Linked DNA regions of Struthio camelus. The protein of the gene in region 2 interacts with the protein of the main gene of each other region in a biochemical or structural test. Links are inferred from orthologs where the notes say so. Each region holds a gene or a part of one and is shown on either strand. Other genes may lie near its edges.

Region 1 (9,023 bases), on a different chromosome or scaffold from region 2:
TTTTTTCCTCACAGCATCAGTCTTTCAAGAAATTTTCTTTATCACAGGTAGTAAGCCTTTTCCCTTACTGAGGGCCAACCAGATCAGTCAGGCACCTTTAGCAGGTCAATCGCTAACATGCATGTTAGTAGCATTACTGCACAACATAGAAAAAGATCATATCGTGACCAACTATAGGAAACTACTTTATGCTGTTATGGCATGGAAAACTCATAGCTCATCGTTAGAAGAGTCTATGCTTAAACAAAGACTAATGTAAAAAATGAACTCAGAAGAAATAACTTGGCAACTTTTTTCCTCACTCTGAAAAAGTTCCTCTTCCAGTTTTTCCTTACTGCTACAATTCTACCGATTTTAAATTTTGTGACTTTGTGGTTCTTTACCCTACTCCTAAATAGAACTTTTGGGGCACTAAGTGAATGCACAAGAGGTTATTCACAAAAAATAAAAATAAAAATAAAAAAATCAGTGCAGTTCTGTTCAAGTTACTGTAAGCATTAAGTTTGCTTAAGCAGAAAAGGTTTATATCTTACATCTTTAAATGGCATAACAAAAAAAAAAATTTGAACTCTATTAGCAGATCTTTAAAAGGACATCTGTTTTTCTGTTTTTAATACCCAATGCTGGCTAGATGTGCTGAACCCACCATCAGAGCACAGACTGTATAACTCTTTAAAATATTAACATCATTTTAATGTGGTCGTGTAACCCCAAACTGCAAACCATTCAGGGCTAGGAGAATAGGCCAGGGAATCATTGCTACGTGCTTGCCCTGTTGTTCTTTTCTTCACTATGCATACGCCATTGAGCACTGTTGAAAACAACATGTTGAGTTAGGTAGAACTTTTTATTCTCATTTTAATCTTACACTCGTTTTGGCTAAAAATAACTAAATACCTCTGGAACTTGATGAATTGTCCAGTCAATCGCAGCAAAGGAATAAAAAAGAGAGCAGACAGAATAATTTGTAAACAAGATGTTGAAATCATCCCCCAGAAGTGAACAAATACACGTAAGGCTGTTATCTTCTGAGAAACGTATGTACATTGCAAGACTCTTCCTAGCTGACAAATAATAAGCAGCAACATTATCTGCATGTCCACAACAGTTTCTCTTTCCAGGAAGTATTTTAGCACTATTTAACTGTCTGATATAGTGTATGAACAAAAGTATCCACAAGTTGAGATAATTTCATCTGCCAATGGACCATGAACATTAATAACTAACATTGCTTGCTATCCTTTATAAAGAGAAATCTAAGAAAACAAAATCTTCCATTTTAAGTGACAAAATAATTTTCTTGCCTTCAATTACAATTCAGGAACATGGAAATGAGGACTTGTAAACTTAAATGTGTGTTTCTTCTTAAGGGAGCATTGCATTTATTTAAAGCAGGTCAGTGTGGACTGGTTAAAGTGCTACGATCTCTTAAACGATTTGTGTAGCATATCAAGTCTTTTAAGGAAACAAGATGGAGGTAGCTTTCATATAAGATATAATCAATTAAATACAAAATAACATTCTCACATTAAGGCAAAGACTTAGTAATTCCTGAAGATCATGAAGGCCCAGGCCTGTTTAAAAACTGCAACATACAACCACTACCCTTCACTTAATGATTTTGCCACATAAAATACAGTGCAACTTATACTAACTAGTCTGAAACAGTTTGGAAAATGGGCAAACAAATGTTAATGCAGTTTGTATGATTTCTAGAGGTGATTTATTCCTTTTCAAAGTAATTTTATCTATGTATTATCAAGGAAAGAATCACTGTTCAAAGTGTTTATGGTAGTAAAGGAAAATCTTTCACATCACCAAAATTTCATCTCTTTTGATGTTTCAGATAAAGAGGCAAGATCTTAGTCGCTACTTCTATGAATTCCCTGTGGATATCAAGTTTTACAAAGGCTATCTCCTCTGGTATGTATCTTCTCTAAACTTTTGACCAATAGCATGCTTTCAAGTGATAAAACATAGGTTGGATCTTTGATCTTTCTGCTTTCACTTGACATTGCCTTCACTTTGTTCTTGTTAGAAGAGAGTTCTCTGTCCTTTATTCGAATAGAGTCCTTATTTTAGATCCCTTTGCTATTTGTTAATTTTACAGGTTGTAAACCTCAGTTATACTCTTGAACGTATGAAGCACTTGACAAATATTGATCCCAGTGTTTGCAATTAAAGTAGCAGTTTGCAGCAATGATGCTTTTAGATGAAAAATATTAAAGGTGGCCTAGAAACCCCTACGTACAGAGTTACTTTAAAAGCGTCTAACAATATCTAAGTGAATTATTTTTATTTTTTAATCAAAGACAGACCACTGCTGCTTCCCTACAGTCAGGGCAGACTACATGTTTTAAGACTATAAATTAAAAAGCAAATTCAGATCACCGTTTGCTGCTTCCTTTTTCCTGGGAAGAATGCACCACCACTGAAATTTGGCACGTATTCCTACAACCTGGACAAACTTAGAAACAGGAAATAGGAGAAGAGAAATATACCTGAAAGAAAATACACTTTTCTTTGACAAGACTCTCCTCTATCTTCCCTGGTAAAGACACTGTAACCTAATCATGCAAAAACTTTTCAAATGCCAATTCACCCTTTTGGAGAGGAAGACAGACTGGTAATCCTACTGCATAAGAACAGAGCTTCTGAAATGTATTTTCTGAACCATAAGATGTGAATTTAAGACAAATAAGGCCCAAATCTGTACATAGCTCAGCAGAGGCCAACTACGTATATGTGGAGAGTCCTAAAAGTATTAGAGACTCCTGTGCGCGCTCCAATTTCATTTATCCTTGGAATAGAGTCAAATACTCTTTTATTTTGACCAAGCCATGTCCTGCTGAAAACAGACAACACAGTACCTCCCTCCAACTCTCCCTCTTTTCTTAAGGATACTGCTTTTGAAGCGTAAATAAGAGGAAGGAAAAGAACGAATAAACATTTCCAACTACCATTTTTAAAACACACGCAAAACAGGATCTGCAGATAGCTTTATTTGCTGATGAACGTATTACTGGTGAAACGGTTCCAAAGCAGATATTCTATTCCACTACACTGTGGACAGTTCAAAAACAAAATTGTTTTCCCCCGTTCATCCGTCATTCAGAATATTAATATTTAAAGTGTGCTGGAGGGAGGAAGAGGGAGAACTTAAGCTATAAAAACAAATCGCAGGAGCTTGAAGTTTGTTGTAAGAATCCCGACGCTTAGAAGCGTCTTCCCATCTCTGGGGAAGGAAGTTCTCCTCCTCCTCCTCCTCGAGGAGGGAGTGGGAAAACAGCGCGCGGCAGCTCGGAGACCTCCCTGCCCCCAGGGACCGGGCCGAGGCGTCGCCTCAGCGCATCCACCAACGGAACATCCACGTTCCCGCCGCCGACCGTTACCTCAGGCGGCGACCGCGGCGACCACCTCCCCCGCCCCTCACACCCCGCCGCCCCTCTCCTCGCCACCGGCTCCGCCGCCTGCCGCCCCCCCTTTCCCGGGGGCCGCCCCCCCTCCCCCCCCCGAACTAGCCTCTCGGCCGCCCCCGCTCGCCACCTGCCCTCCGGCCCCCCGCCGCAGCCCTCACCTCTGCCAGGTCCGCCAGCCGGTCCTTCATCCCCGCAGCAGCTCAGCGCCACCCCGAGGCTTCCCCGGCTGCTCCTCGCCCGCCGAAGAGAGCCGCCGGCGCTCGGCCCGCCGCCGCCGCCGCCACCCCCCCGACCCCTCCGCTCCCTCCTCGGCCGGGCTCAGCGGACCGGCCGGGCCGCGCCGCCTCCCCGCTCTCCTTCCGCGGTGCGAGGGGCAGCTGCCACCGCCCCGCCCCCTCCCAAAGTCACGGCAACGGCGGCCCGGCTCCGCGCATGCGCCTCGCGAGGAAGGGGGTGGTGGCCGCGATGCAAATTCCTGGGCGCGGCCGCGCGGAATGGCCGGGCGCGGCACCCGTCCGCCGGGGAGCTGACGTCACGGCAAGGCCCGAGGAGGGCGCGGGTAGCTGCGCCAGTATTTGCGAAGAGGCCGGTGGGAGCTGGGGGGAGGGAGGCGCGGCGGAGTCGCGCGTTGCCGCGGGCCTGTTCAAGACGGGCACTTCCAGAGGTAGACACGTGCGGAGTTAGAGAACTGACTCTTCTGAACGGTACCCACGAGGAAATTCCCAGCCCCAGCGAGCAGTGCTGCTAGGCGCGTAACAGCAGGATGTTATAATAGCACAAAACTTGGGGAGACTGTCATCAGCGAAACAAACTGTTAAAAGTTGCGATAGGGTTATTTTTCAGCTGTATTTTATTTAATTCTTCTCTGGTGAGTCACGTGGGTAGGCGGCAATCAGACTTCATGCAATGCATATTTAGTTCAGAAAGTGAACAGACTGTTTCCTCTCTTTTCTGACAGTTCAGCTCACCACAGGCCATAGATACTTCCTTTTGCTGTTCCGTAACATTAAACTACGGCTTGCTAGTCATTCTTAGAACATCAACGTAATGACAGGAAATTAAAGTTGCACACTTCATTTTGTGGAACAGAAGATGAGCTGAGGACTTTTTTTTTTTTTTAAACTCTTCAACTAATAAGCGCTGAGAAACATTGCCTTGTAGTGACTTTAAGGTCTCAGGTAAAACATCAAAAACAATGACCACAAAGTGTCACAGGAAGACAAATTAAAGACTTTGCCAAAGTCGTAAATCAGTGCAATAACAGATATGCTTTAAAGGCCTGAGAGATTCTAGGAAACATCGCAGACATACCATAGAATGCATAAAGTCCTCAGTGATCCTGAGTGATCCGTTTTACCTATCCATGTTGAAAATGACTAATTTCCTTTTTAAATTTCATGTGTCACCTGGAACACCAGTGTGCAGAGCTCTGTTTCTGTTTGAGCTAATATTCCAGACATTTCCACAATCAGTGCTTTGACTGTGAAACATACCAATATTCCTTTTAATTTCTTGCTGGTATGCACTGTTGTCATCTTCTAGAGTTTGCAAAATAGTTTGCTAACGTAGCAGTTGTGTTCAAAGATAACATGCTGTTTAGCTCTGTGACTGTGGTCATCTCCAGTACAAGCTTTTGTACCACTCTTTATTTGCATCTTCCCTGACTTCCTAAGTGCTGTCCTTTACTTTATCTGGGTCAGTGGCTCAGTTTGTTCACAGTTGAGCTGAGTCAAGGTACAGGAAATGTACAAGATCTTTTAAGGCTTATTATTCTGCTGATTACGTAGTGATATCTTAGGGACCCTAATGTCTTGGTTATCTAACGCTGCTGATTAGTCATTGGAAGTGTTTTGTGGCCTTTGCTGAATGGAGCTATCTGGAGTAGATGTTTTGTAGATCCTCTGAACTGAATACTTATTTGTATATATTTAAAACAGATGCTAACAAGTAGATCCTATATGGCAAACTTATCTCTGCAACAACTTGTAAATATTTGGCAGGAGCTCAAATCAAATGATTGGGGACTTTTTAATTAGCAAGTCACGTTTAATTGTTCCAAAGTAAAGTATCACACAGTATTATTGTTTTGTTTGAAGGAAAAAAAGATAGTTTACTAATTAGTTTGTTACAATACTTAGAAGCTTCTGTCGAAGAAATCCTCAATACTTCTGGGTTAGGTCAGAAGAGAAGCTTTTATTTACTATTAGTAGCTATAGGAGAGAGCACATGGTGGCAAAGGTGAAAATAAACCTCACCAATTTGGTCTCTACATAGCAAAGAGGAACAAGGCTTTTTATGTACTTTCTTAGTTATTCAAGAAGCTTCTTAACCAGTCAAAGGTCATAATCAAACACTTTTCCTTTTATGGAATGCTATAAATCCCTCGCGCCTCAAGGCTGGATGGATCTGGTTTTAACTGGTGACTGCTTCAGCTTGTCTATGAAGGAAAGTGCTAGCACAGTTAAGAAACATCCATGACAGGCCTCAACCAAGATTGCCTTTTAAATCCCTAAACAGTAAATAAAACCCTGAAATAGTCTGTATATTTACACAAACTACCACAGCTCCCCGCTTTGAGACTACCAGTCTCACACCCAGAGTATGGTAGAGGAGCCACAGATGCCCAGCTCAGGGCTTCTAAACAGATCCTCTCACTGCTCAGGCCATGCTGTCTCCTCATCCCCTCTTGCATCTAGGTTTCCTTATTCAGTTGAAATGAGCTTAAGTTTATCAATTTCTTCCTTCTTTCACTCACAAGCTTCCAGCATAGCAAGGCAAATTCCTCGTACATCTTGAGCCTTTTGCTGGCCTGATGAATATTTCCAATTTAAGCAACAGTTACAAAAATGTAACAGACAACACTTAAGAAGAAAACAGAGAAAGCATAATACTACTGTAACAATTATAAGGAATTCATATACAATCTTAGTTCCAGAGACCCAAACCAGTTCCATAAACTCCAGCTGTCTTCCTGATGCAGTTGTGTGGCCACTTTACAATATCTTTTATGTCAAGACATCATGTATCTTTTCATTATTGTCAGGGGTGTAAGTACAACATTCTCAGCTAGTGTTTTCTAGAGTGCTGGGCTGGTGCTCACTTGTTATAACTGTCCTACGTTCATAACAAAGGGAACAGTTTCTGTTGTATGAATTACCCAGACAATTCTGTTATATTTAATTTTCAAATAGGCCCAAGTGGGTTTCAAAGTTTTGCACGGGCGCCTAGCAAATCAACGTTAGGTATATTTGAAAGATTAACAGGAACTGGAATCACTGATATGCCCCTTCTTTGCACGAATTGGGAAGTGAGCGCAGTTCAAAGTATTTACACCTTGTGTATATTGGATTAATATATTTTAAAAGTATTAGTGCAACATGTAGTTAAATAAAGAACAACTAGTATTGCCCAAACTGTCTATCAGTTGAGCAACAACTGTCTCATGCAATTCAACATAAAGGTTTAAGGCTATAGTCAACTGAGATGCAAAGGGCAACTTATCCACTGGGTGGTCTGTGTTCCTTGGAAGAAGAGATGTCTTTTCCTCTGGAGGTTAAGCTCCCTTGGACTACAATGTGTGAATCCAGTTAAGACAAGTCCTTGCACTTCACTGCCGTGTTAGTGATTAGCAGTACTTAGGGTCCTTTCTGCAGCTCTAAGGCATTCTCCCGTTGGAACGCTTTAATCTACCCCACTCTCCTGGCTCTAGGGAATGGCAAAGTCCAACAGGTAGTTCTGGTAAGGCCGGAAGCACCTGTGTATGGAGAGCTCTTAAACACTTCATTAAGGCTCTATCATAATTCAGTAATATCAATTAGTTGCACATTAGTTTGAAAATACATTGAAAAGTCTATATATACACAGTACATATTCAGATTTCCTTTCATTGTGATGTCATGGTCTAAGCAGAAAAACAGAGTTCTTTATCCAAAACTCGTGTTGTGAAAACTATGAAAACCTTTGCAAACGTAGTTTCTGAGTTTCATAGTCTTCTAAGTATGACAATAAAAAGTTATATTTTTACATGTCTTTCCTACTGTTCACCACACAGTCCAAGACTGTGCACTGGAGACATGCAGTTTGTTTACTGAAATTCAGCGCTAAGTGGAGGATTAAATAAACAAACGAACTCTCATTCCATGATCAGTAGTATGCTTCCATGTAATAACATACAAGGCTGAATTTTTATCATATTAACACTTGTTGAAGAGAACAGAAGACAAAGATCTGTTTCAGTGTTTGTAGTCTTCGCAGTTTGATCAGTTTGGGAACTGACTGATAGGAGAAATTAACTATCTCATGGTAGTAGGTTAGGGGAGCACTCAAATAATCCAAGACCTGAATTTATTATTATTTTAACAAGCTCCACGCTTCTAAAGCATACTTAGCACTGTGTAGACAAAGTCACAGATTGAAGATTTTCCTGGAAGTGTTTATATTCTTAAACACTGCCACAAACTCCACTTATGTGGCTTTATGGGCTCCTATTAATAAATGGATTCCTATTTGTCAAGAAGATGGGTGGATTCGTAAGAGGTTTATAAAGATAGCATTGTACTGAGAAAAATATGAATTACATATTCTTAAAAACATCCTTTCTGGCACCTAGGGGTGATCACCAAAAAGGCTCAGAGAAACCCCATTGTACCACCTCCTCCAAAAAAAAGAAAAAAAGAAAACAAGCTCAACAAACCAGTGATTTTTGCAACAAAGAAAAATTTAAATAAAATTTTGGAGTGGCGCTCCACGACTAAGTATGTGAATATTACAGCAGAGAGATTGTAAAGCTTTCTGTATGCATTGCCTCCATGTATGCAGAGAATGAACAAGAAATAGTCTGTTTGCGTGTGTCATGTTCCATGAAAAAAAATCTATATTATTTCAAGCCAGAAGTATTTAAAAATTAATGTATTTATCCTTGATTAGGGGATGCAGCAACAAATAAATGTTATGCAGACCACAAAAAAGGAACATACTGCCTAAGTACACCAGAGGAAAAAAGAGCAGGGTGCTTAAAAGTCAGTATGACCCCACGGACTTGATATTTATAATCCTATGCAAAACATCTCTTTTAGAGTTCATTTAAAGCAGCTCTGCTCTCTAGCGCTAAAGTTTCGACTTGGGGGCTTTAATAACTTTATTCTAAATCCAGGGCCTACAAAATATCTTTTGTTTTATTTTCATTAATACAGGTAAATAATATTTTCATGAAGACAGATCACTTTCACGAGGAACTGAAAGCAGCGGCCATATGGCACATTTAAGGAAAGTCCTTTAGAACGCAGTTTTTACCTGAAAGTGGTTCAACTAACTCTTTCTACTTGTTATTAGACAAGACCCCCCCCCCCCCATTACCTGGTGCTAGGGACAGTTTAACAGGTTCTCTAGGTAACTCCTAGCAGTTTTTAAACTTTGCCCACAGGACTATGATCAGCTGACCAGCTTATCCCGCACTCCCGGTCTTTCATGACTGAACAGGGAAACGGCCGTGTTTCTGGAGCAGCTCAGCACGGCAGCGCACAGGGTCCGCCTCAGCCAAACCCCACCAAGCCTCGGGCTTTACAGCAACAAGTACTACTTAGAAGCACGGTTTCAGCCTTCTTT
Region 2 (9,377 bases):
AGTGTTAGCAATACCCATAGCAACCTACTGCCAGCACATATAAATCTCCAAGCTTTATTACTTGCTTGTGATCAGAAAGCTAGACTTAGTATGCGTTTATCCAACAGCAGCTCTTTGGTTGAGGATCCCTGATGGTAGGTACATTAAAGCTTTGGAAAAAGCATTAAGCATTTGAAATGAAAAAGCCTCAAGATGAAAAAAACTGTTCTATGCAGCCAGTAACATCATAATCATCTTTGCTATGCGTTGTCTCAGATCACACACTTAATTTTACATACAATCTTTCTTTATTGTCTCTGTCATTGCTGCAACATAGTGCTCTGCACCACTAGAGATTTTTCTTACCAGCATTTATTTTTCATTAAGAATTACATGCAAATTTGAAGTCAACTATTTACAACCAACACTCAAAGTTTCCAACAGAAGCAGACCATAGGTATAAATATAGGCAAGTTTCAAAAGCTGTTACAACAGTGAAATTGCATATCCCTTTCAGGCTTTTTCATTCCAAATATTTTTCTCAGACTTGCAAAAAAAGACACTTCCAAGGTAATGAAAGCTATGGTACGCAATTTACCTACTGTTTGAACAGGCATTTTTGAAAAGTTATCAACTCTAGAAAAAAAGTTACATCCTTGCTTTAAGACAGTCAACACATATTTAGAGTGTGCTGTCCAAAGCACTCAAAGCCCATAAGAATTTTCTGTCTTAGATATCTCTGAATTTGAACAAACTACTGGGTGCCAGAAAGTCTAATGACGTGTTTAACTGCAATTACACCGTCCACATCTGGAAAGGACATTAAGCTATCTACTGCAGACAAACATCATTTCATATTGGCACTCAGGGTAGGAGCATTTTTAAAAAAAATTGTTACACCTGGAGATTTTGTGCATTCCTGTCATCCCTTCAAACTAAGACATTTTGAAAGATCTAATTTTGACAGGGAAAGAGAGTGTCAAAAGTGACATGTTTTCCTCAACTACACAGGTCTCTCTGCACTAGACCAATATACTGTATTGATCACTTGCAGTTTAACAAACTCAGCAAGATTTTCAGTCTCGCATCTCTGGCTGACATGCAGCAGTTTTGTGCCTCTGACAGACAGCCTTTCACAGATGTGAGAGACACCTATCACATTTCTCAGATATCCCAAATTAATTCCTTGTCAACTGGTGATGCTCCTTATTTGAACCTAAACAATCAGGATGTCTAAAACAGTCCTTCATCCTTCCTCCTGCACTACTAGTCCTCAGCTAGAAATGCAGGCTGAAGCTCTTCCTTTTTCAGTTAAAGACATTTTGCTAGCATCAGTAACAAAGAACAATCTGTACCTTAGTGCCTATTCCATAAACACATAATAAGCAAGAGGTTCCCAATTTTCTTAGGAGTAGGAACTAAAGCTAGAAGAATGTAGTGTAATACTTTTGGCAATGGAAGACAACAGCTGTGAGAGTTACAAGTGGGGATTAGGTCATTTTTTTTTAATGCTGGAAATATAAGGGTCATTAAATTTGCCTTCTAGAAGAATTTCTCTCTCAGAAAAGCTATTTCCAAGTTGTGAATGAAAATGAGTCAACTCCTGCAAAGCATGGAGTCTTGCTAGAGCACTTAAGGCTTCACGCTGTTTTTCTCCTCAAAATCCAGTCAAAAGTTTTCAGTAGTCAGGAACTAAATATGGCATAGTTGATCAGAAAACTTTTAGACATGCATGCCCAAGTTATTCATTTTCAAAAAGTCATGATTACGCAAGATCTAATCCTTTCTATTCACATGTACCCATATTTGACTACCTCCTCATTTCAGATATATCAGAAAGTAATTCCTGTATTGTATACTTTTAAAAAACTAATCTACCAGTAAATATACCAAAGTATTATCCTTAAAAACCTACAATTGGTAGCTAGATCTTTCCATTGATATTTATTACAAGTACCAGGGAAGAAATAACAAATAGCCCCCAGCTGATATGGCAAAAAAAAATATGATTGAAAAATTCAGCCTACGCCGTCTTATGGGCAATTGTGTTATAAACAAAGATAGGAAGTGCAAGAAGACACAATCCAGATGTCTCAGCAGCAGAACGAAAGCCAGGATCTCATGAGCTATAATTTTAGCCATCAGTGAACCGGTATAGCCTCAGAAGATCACGGATGCTCTCTGTTCCTTCACCTGTAAAGTGAGCAGTTGCCTTCTCCAAAAGATGAAGAACATTAACAGAACTATTTTTAGAAAAAATTGAAAATAAATTATGAAAGTTGTGTGCTCTTGCACAGATTAAAACTAGACAGTTTACAGAGTAGGTGACTTGATACAAAAGTACAAAACAAAACAAAAACATTTGCATCACCAATGCAGGAGCTGCTTTTGAAAAACCTTCCTTATTCAAATAGAAAATGCTACTTATGTTCAGCAGCTGAAATTCAGCCCAGCAAATACAGGCTGGTACAAGGTATCAGCACCAGAGCGTACTCCTCCAGGCTATTATGTCTACAAGATAAATGAATAAAGCATCTGTGACACTGGGGGAAGGGGCCAGAACCCAAGAACAAGAAACCACTCTGCATGCTTCCTGCTTTCTCTTATCAGCTTCCTGAACACACTGCACAGAGGAGACAGCCAAAAGAATAGGCGCTAGCAACACCACCTCCTCTATGCTATGTGTTCTCTTCTATGCTAGTTCCAACAAGCAATTTTTGTTGCTGGAAAAGCCTCGTGATACCTCCTCCAGTTTAGTTATTAGCCAATACAAGTTAACAAGCAACTCTAGATCAACATACAGACAGTAACAGCTGCTATTTTGTCTGCCTAACGAAGAACACTGTGCAAAAAGCTATACAATCAGCTACTTAAAAACCCTGCAGAATCGGGGCGCTAAGGCATACAGACTAGTTACCAGACTGCCAGTAAGGAATTCATTGCTCAAACCAAAGAATCATGCAATTGACATCCAGGGAGGTTTTTCCTTTGCCCCTAAATGCCTTCCTGTATAGCTGTTCTACCTGCAGCAGAGAATTAGCTTTTTCTTTTTTTTTTTTTTTAAATGAAGGGAGAAGTAAAGGAAAACTCAGCTACTTAGTTCTGAGTCCTGAATGCCTATTGCCCTCAGAAAAAGGGAACACAAATAGCTAGGAAAGCTGTATAAAGAAGTTCCAAAGCTTCCCCAGCCCATTTGTCTGGGTTGAGGAATTGTGTGCTGTGTTACACCTTTGTGTTAAGCAGTAATTGCACTCTGCCCGAGATAAGTCTTCAAAAGAGAAGAGTGAAAAATAAAGCTGACTATTCTTTATCAGTTTCCTAGGAGGGCTAAAGGTTTCGAGATCTACAGTTAAACAGAGACCCACAAGTTACTTCTAACACTTATTGTTCGTACCTATCAGAATTTTACCAACTCGTGTCTAAAGGCAGGAAACCATAAGAGTTTAAAAACAGCAATAACAGGAGGAGTGCCTCCGGTAACATACAACCGGATCAGTTCAGTCAAGCACAGAAGAAACATCCGAAAGCCGCCCAGGATCCTCCCCCGCCCGCCCAGCGCAGGGCTCGGACCCCAGCGGCACGGGCCTCTCGGCACGGCGAGGCCAGGGTGGAGCAGGGGCTGCGCGCAGCCCCAGGCCCCGCCACACCAGCGGCCCTCCCGGGCAGCCACGACCCCGTCACCGGTGCCCTTCCAGCCGCGGCCCCGGCGGGGCCGAGCCGTTAACGGCAAGGCGGAAGGGGACTCGACCTGCCAGCCTGACTCCCGCGGCCGCCGCCCCGGCTGCTCCGCTCGGGGCGCGGAGCGGCGAGTCGGCAGGCTGGGGCGGCCACCACACACGCCTACTGCTACTGCTGCCGCCGCCGCCACGCACCTGTCGTCGTCGCCACCGCTGCTGCACGCCCCGCAACGGTCGCCACCCTTAAGCCAGGCCCCGCACCCCTCGCCGCCCCTTTAACGGCCCAGCGCCCGCCCGCCCCCGCTGCGGAGCGCCCACCCGCCCCGCGCGTCACTGGCCACCGCCCCGCCCCGGAAGGGGAAGCCAGCAACCCCCGGCGGACGCGGCGCCGCGCGCCACACTCGACATGGCGGGAAAGAGAAGCCGCCCGCCTGCCTGCCCGCCCGCCCGCCCGCCTGCCTATAGCGGGGCCGCCGGCACCTCGTGGGAAACGTCCGGCGGCGCGCGCAGGTTGGGTGCACCCAACATGGCGCCATGAGGTGGCTGACGGGACTCCTGCGCATGCGCCAAGGCGCCGCGGCGCTCCGCCGGTGGGCGACGGCTGTACGTGGCCGGTGCGATAGGGTCCGGGTTTTGCCAGTTGCAGCTATGCTAAATAAAGACGTAGTATGTCGGTAGCCCCGTTGGAATCAGTGAGATTTTTCTGAGAGTGAGGTACCCGTCACTCTGAGGAAGGACCTTAACCACTCCTGTGTAACTAGAGGGAGAAAGAGGGCAGGGGCCTCCGGCAAGGGGAAGCTGTGGGTCTTGCGCTTTATAGTTGAACTGTGCTGACTTTCCGTGTATGTTTTCCTCCTGAAGTGTAACTGATTTTTTCTGTGCTGAGGTTGCCGTTAAGATCATATACCTTCTGTAATGTTGTTAACCCAGGGCAACATCAGCACTTCTCAATGCCATCAGGGCACAGAGTGGGCTGCGCTGCTCTTCTAAGGCTAATGAAGTGCCCTCTCGGGATGAAACCTCTGTGGTCTCAGAGGCGGGCCTTGTTTCGCTTTCCCTTACAGCATCCAGAGCCCCCTTTGGCTTACGCTTCTTGAGAGGTCCCACTGGACTGAGGTTTACTGTGTGTTACGCAGCCCAGCCACAAGCACAGGCACTTGTTCTTAAGCCTTTCAGACTGTTCCTGAAGGTGATTTGTCAGGCTAGCTCAGCCTGTGCTGGTCCTAGCACAATTTCTGTGGCTTCTTGCTACTGCTATGTGTGTGATTTTCAGGAGCAGGTTTTTCGAGCAGTAGCATACAGCACTACAGCACGGTTCAACTATGCATGTTTATGGCACTATACTGACTGATAATAACGATGATTACTATTGTTATCGGTAACTAAACGTCCCGAACTGACAAGCATGTATCCTACCGCAGTGAAGTAAGCGGGTATTTCCTCTAACACCGCTCCGCCGCCCGAACTACACTTCCCAGCAGGCAGCGCGGCGGGGGCAGGCGGACTTCCCGGCATGCAGAGCGGCCGCCTCCCTGCTGGCGGATTGGCTGGGGCGCGGGGTTGCCCCGCCCCGCCGTGCGCCGCGGGTCTCTGCGGGGTCGGCCCGGCGCGGGCGCTGGCGCGGTGCGAGCGGCGGCGGCCCCGGGGCGGGCGGCGGCGGGGCCTGCGGGGCGCCGGCCGAGTGATGGGTTGGCGGGCCGCTGCCCTGGCGAGGGCTGCGATGTGTGAGTGGCGGAGCGGGGGGCCGAGCGGCGGGGCCCCCCTGGCGGCGGGGTGCGGGGAGAGCGGGGCCGGCGGCGCGGCGGGGTCGCAGCGGCCGCCGGCCCGGCCGGACAGGGCCAGGCCGGGCCTGGCCTGGGTTTGCTCTGTGGCACGGCCGTCGCGGGTGGTGGTGGCGGCGGCGGCGGCGGGGCCCCCTGAGCTCTGTGGTCGGGTTCAGTGCAGAGCAGGTTCTCCGCTGCGGACTGTTGGCTGTCGTGTTGTCTCTTCGCACCCGCTAGAAGAGCGTCCGAGGCAGAAACGCAGCTTTGGGTTCAGAGTTGCTCGGTTACCTTCCTCACACTATAAAGCTAAAAAGTATATCCTCGTGAAAGCGTGTATGAATGCGGCGATAAATGCGGCTGGTAACCTGAAAAGACTGAGACCACTTCTGTGGAGTTTCTGATACGGGTCTTCATGACATAATGAAATATGAGCTGTTTAAAAGTGTTTGTTATTGCAAGCAGAGTAGTTCATACACAAACTTAAGTTACAGTAAGAGCTGTTCAGGAGGGCTTATGACCTTCAACTAGGAAAAACTTTGTGAATGTTGAGCGGAAGTAGCATTGATGCTTAAAGTTTATACAACTGCTCTGTAAGGGCTAAGTTTGTTTTGAGTGGTTTGCTTTTTGACAATATAATATCGTTTTATATTTTTCTATTCTTATTGCTAGTGGTCTGGTAACAACTGTCTAATGCAAGTAAGAAATTTTCCTTTTCTCCTTCCCTTCCACTCAAGCATGGCTTTAAAGGGATTTGTAGAACAGATGAGCTCAGAGGATTGAGGTGTGGTGGACTTTGTTTTCAACATGAGTTCTTGGGGCTGTTTTTCTCAGACTTCCTCTGCTTCTTGTTTCTATCCTTCATTTGCTACTTCTTTCAATCAAGCTTTAATTACTGTGTTGAGGTAACTGATTGCTTTGCTGGACTGATAGGTCCTCTCCTAAAAATACTTAAGCCTTCTAACAACTTCTTTAATAGTTTTTTGGAACTCTGAAATTATCTTCCTAGTAGTATTGCAGTGTCTGGGCTGAATGTTGCAGATCCTTAGGGCCAATGTAATATGACTTTGTAACTTCTTTACCTTAGAAAATATACTCCAATCCTGACCTGAAAAGAGACCGTCTTTTTTATTAAAGGCAACTGCATTTTTTTAGTTCTTACTTGGCTTCAGCCAAGAGTGAAAGGCAGCTGCATTCACATCACCAATACGTACCAGTACTGACTAGCTTTGTTTGTAAAGTTTGTTGAATAGGTATGGTATTGCAGTAGTTTCAGTTCAGAACAAATCACTGGTTTTAGCCAAACTATGTTAGCCTGTTACCTGTATCACTGTGACCAAAGTTAAGGTACCTTCTAGCCCATGTCTCCAAAGGGGTCAAGTGTTTGAAGAGGTGGCAGCAAAATACATCTTAATATATGCAAGGTTCTGATATCCAGTGCAAAGAATAATAACAATCACTAACATATAAGTACATGTTTAAATTGTGTACGAGGATGCTAGGTTTTGTAGATAACTTCGTCAAAACATCTAGATAAAATTAAGGCATTTTTTTCCGTTGGGCTTTCACTTCATCTTGTAAAGACAAAATTCATAAGATATTTGGAGTCAAGTTTAAATTGATGAAATTCTTTTTAACATCTGATAAGTGTCTTCTGTGAACTCTGCCACCAGATGGTGTCATAAGATTTGAGATGTGACATGACTCAAACTGGTTATAGGAAAAATAAGAGGATATTATGCATTGTAACTTACTTCTTTCTTTCATAAAAATGTTCTTATTTCTTGTGTAAGCAATTTTTTCCCCCTCATCTACTTCTCTTAGGCTATTTTTCTTTTTGATCCCAAGTTGATAAAGCCCTGAATAGTCAGCCCTGGGACCAAGTACCTATATTACAGAGGTGTAGGTATTCAGACAGGACCCTGTATTCTTATTGCTTGCCTGTTAATGATTCCCAGCTCAGTGTTTGGGATCCTTAACTTGGTTTTACTTGACACGAGAGCTCCATCTACTTACAGGTGACCTGACTGCCTTAATATGAGAACCTCGTATCACTCTTCAGTGGTTCTTATTGCTCTGTAGCGACTGCATAAATTGAATAAGCCTAATAACTGACTAAATGCTCTGCAATGCACTCTCTAGAGATCATATAGGCCCTTCTTCGGGAGTCTGAATCATCTTACCAAGGCCAGGTACCTACTTCTGTAGTATTGCGATAAGCTGGGTCGGTGCAGTGGGCCGCTTGGATTTGGCTTCTAAGTCGCTATTCCTTAGCTTCCAATCTGTAAAAGAGACCTACTATGCCTACCTGTGAAGGGCGCTATGAGCATAAATACGCTATGAAGAAAAAAAGATACAACCAAGTGTTGCAGAGATAAGTGTAAAACTAAGTGACAGATATTTCTGTCACTCTTATGAGGGTCTGTTGGTTGAAGATCTCTTGCCAAACAGCACAAGGTTATTGAAAGAAGCTGATATGAGTTCTGTTATAAATCACGGACATATTTAAATGGAGTAGCTTATTTGTACCAGATTGTGGATCATTACGTTGATTCTTAATAAAACTTTGTCTCAATCGTTAATAGTTATGTTTGAGGCTGAAAAAAATTATGATAGGAGGAGTACAAAGACAGTGCTCCTCTCAAAGAGGTGATGAGAGGAGTCTCAGTTGAAGCACTGTGTCCCATTTTGGAAATTCATTTCAAAGTGTGGTAGGCAACTTGGAAGGAGGAACAGGAATTTGGATAGGTTCAGAAAATGTGATGTTTGAGAAGACATCTGAGGAAACTGAGCTTGCCTAAGTCTGGAAAAGAACTGTGAATATATGGGAAAATAACAGCCATCATAGTGTGAATTTTAGGTGCTCCTAAATCACAAAATACCGCAATGATGCTGAACAACTTTCCATTCACATTAGGACAGTTTATATCCCTAAATCTGAATCTTTCAGTGTGTAAAAAGCTATTGAAAATAAGATAACCATAAGATATTCTTTGTTTTCACTAGGGAGGAATATATGGCTTATTTTTACAGCAAGGAAAGTTTAGGTTGGGTACTAGGAAAGTATTTATTAATCTAACGACAGCTGAGCTCTAAAAGAGGTTTTGTTAGGGACTCTGGGCTGTCTTTCGTTGGACACGTTTATGAACTGATTAGGTGGATGCCTGTCTGGAATGGTCTAAGCATGCTGTCTTAGTGCCAGGGTAGTCTATTCAGGTAATCTGTTGAGTCCTTTCTGGCTCTGTATATTTGTAATGAGATCCCCTTAGTTAGATTAATGGTTCAGAAAGCATTTTCATGAAATATTAAGTCAATTTATTTTAAATTGTGAATGACTAAAAGTATTGGTTTTTTAACTATTTTATGGCGATTTGTTGTTCAGTGTGCTTCTGTGTGAGCTGCTATACTGATTCTCATGGGTCATGCTTATTTGACTTTAACAATTCTTCCTGCTAGTTGAAATAGGATGATGATTGGCTGAACATGTAGACTGACTTACTGATGTTGCCTTTCTAGAACTGAGAACAAGAATCTACAGTACTGGAAAAAACAAATCTAACATTGCGTATATACAGAGAACCTAAAAAGATACAGTTTGATTGTGGCTTAAGCTGTATCTACTCTTCTGGTTTACTTGAAGTTAGAATAGACATTAGTGAAAACTCCGTGTTCATGCCAGGTGTTTCCATGCATATGCTTGTCTGTTTGTATAGGTATTTCTCTATGATCCCTTATCTCCTGTGTACCTTCTCTGTAGTACTCATGGGATAACATACAAATGGTTCCTCCTGGATGGCTTCTAGGCAATTTAGTGGAGTGAGCTTTATTGCTTTTAACAGGAACTTAAAGAACTTTGATCTCTGAAATAACTCTTCTCTCTTCCTTGGCTCAATGTCAAAATAGTTGAGGACTCAGCAGCCCTGTTGCAACATTTGCTGTACAGTGGTGCTGTTTCAGTGTG

Evidence for each region.
Region 1: the proteins of SNAP23 (region 2) and STX2 form a complex in vitro, tested with the Homo sapiens proteins (2 studies listed by BioGRID). The link is inferred for Struthio camelus from reciprocal best matches to the Homo sapiens genes SNAP23 and STX2.

What each region holds. Positions count from the first base shown.
Region 1 is NC_090958.1:14,148,574-14,157,596, reverse strand, and holds the start of STX2 (syntaxin-2), read right to left. Parts: upstream 3,776-9,023; 5' UTR 3,608-3,775; coding exon 3,578-3,607; intron 1-3,577.
Region 2 is NC_090946.1:42,631,228-42,640,604, reverse strand, and holds the start of SNAP23 (synaptosomal-associated protein 23), read right to left. Parts: upstream 4,013-9,377; 5' UTR 3,852-4,012; intron 1-3,851. UniProt on the Homo sapiens protein: Essential component of the high affinity receptor for the general membrane fusion machinery and an important regulator of transport vesicle docking and fusion.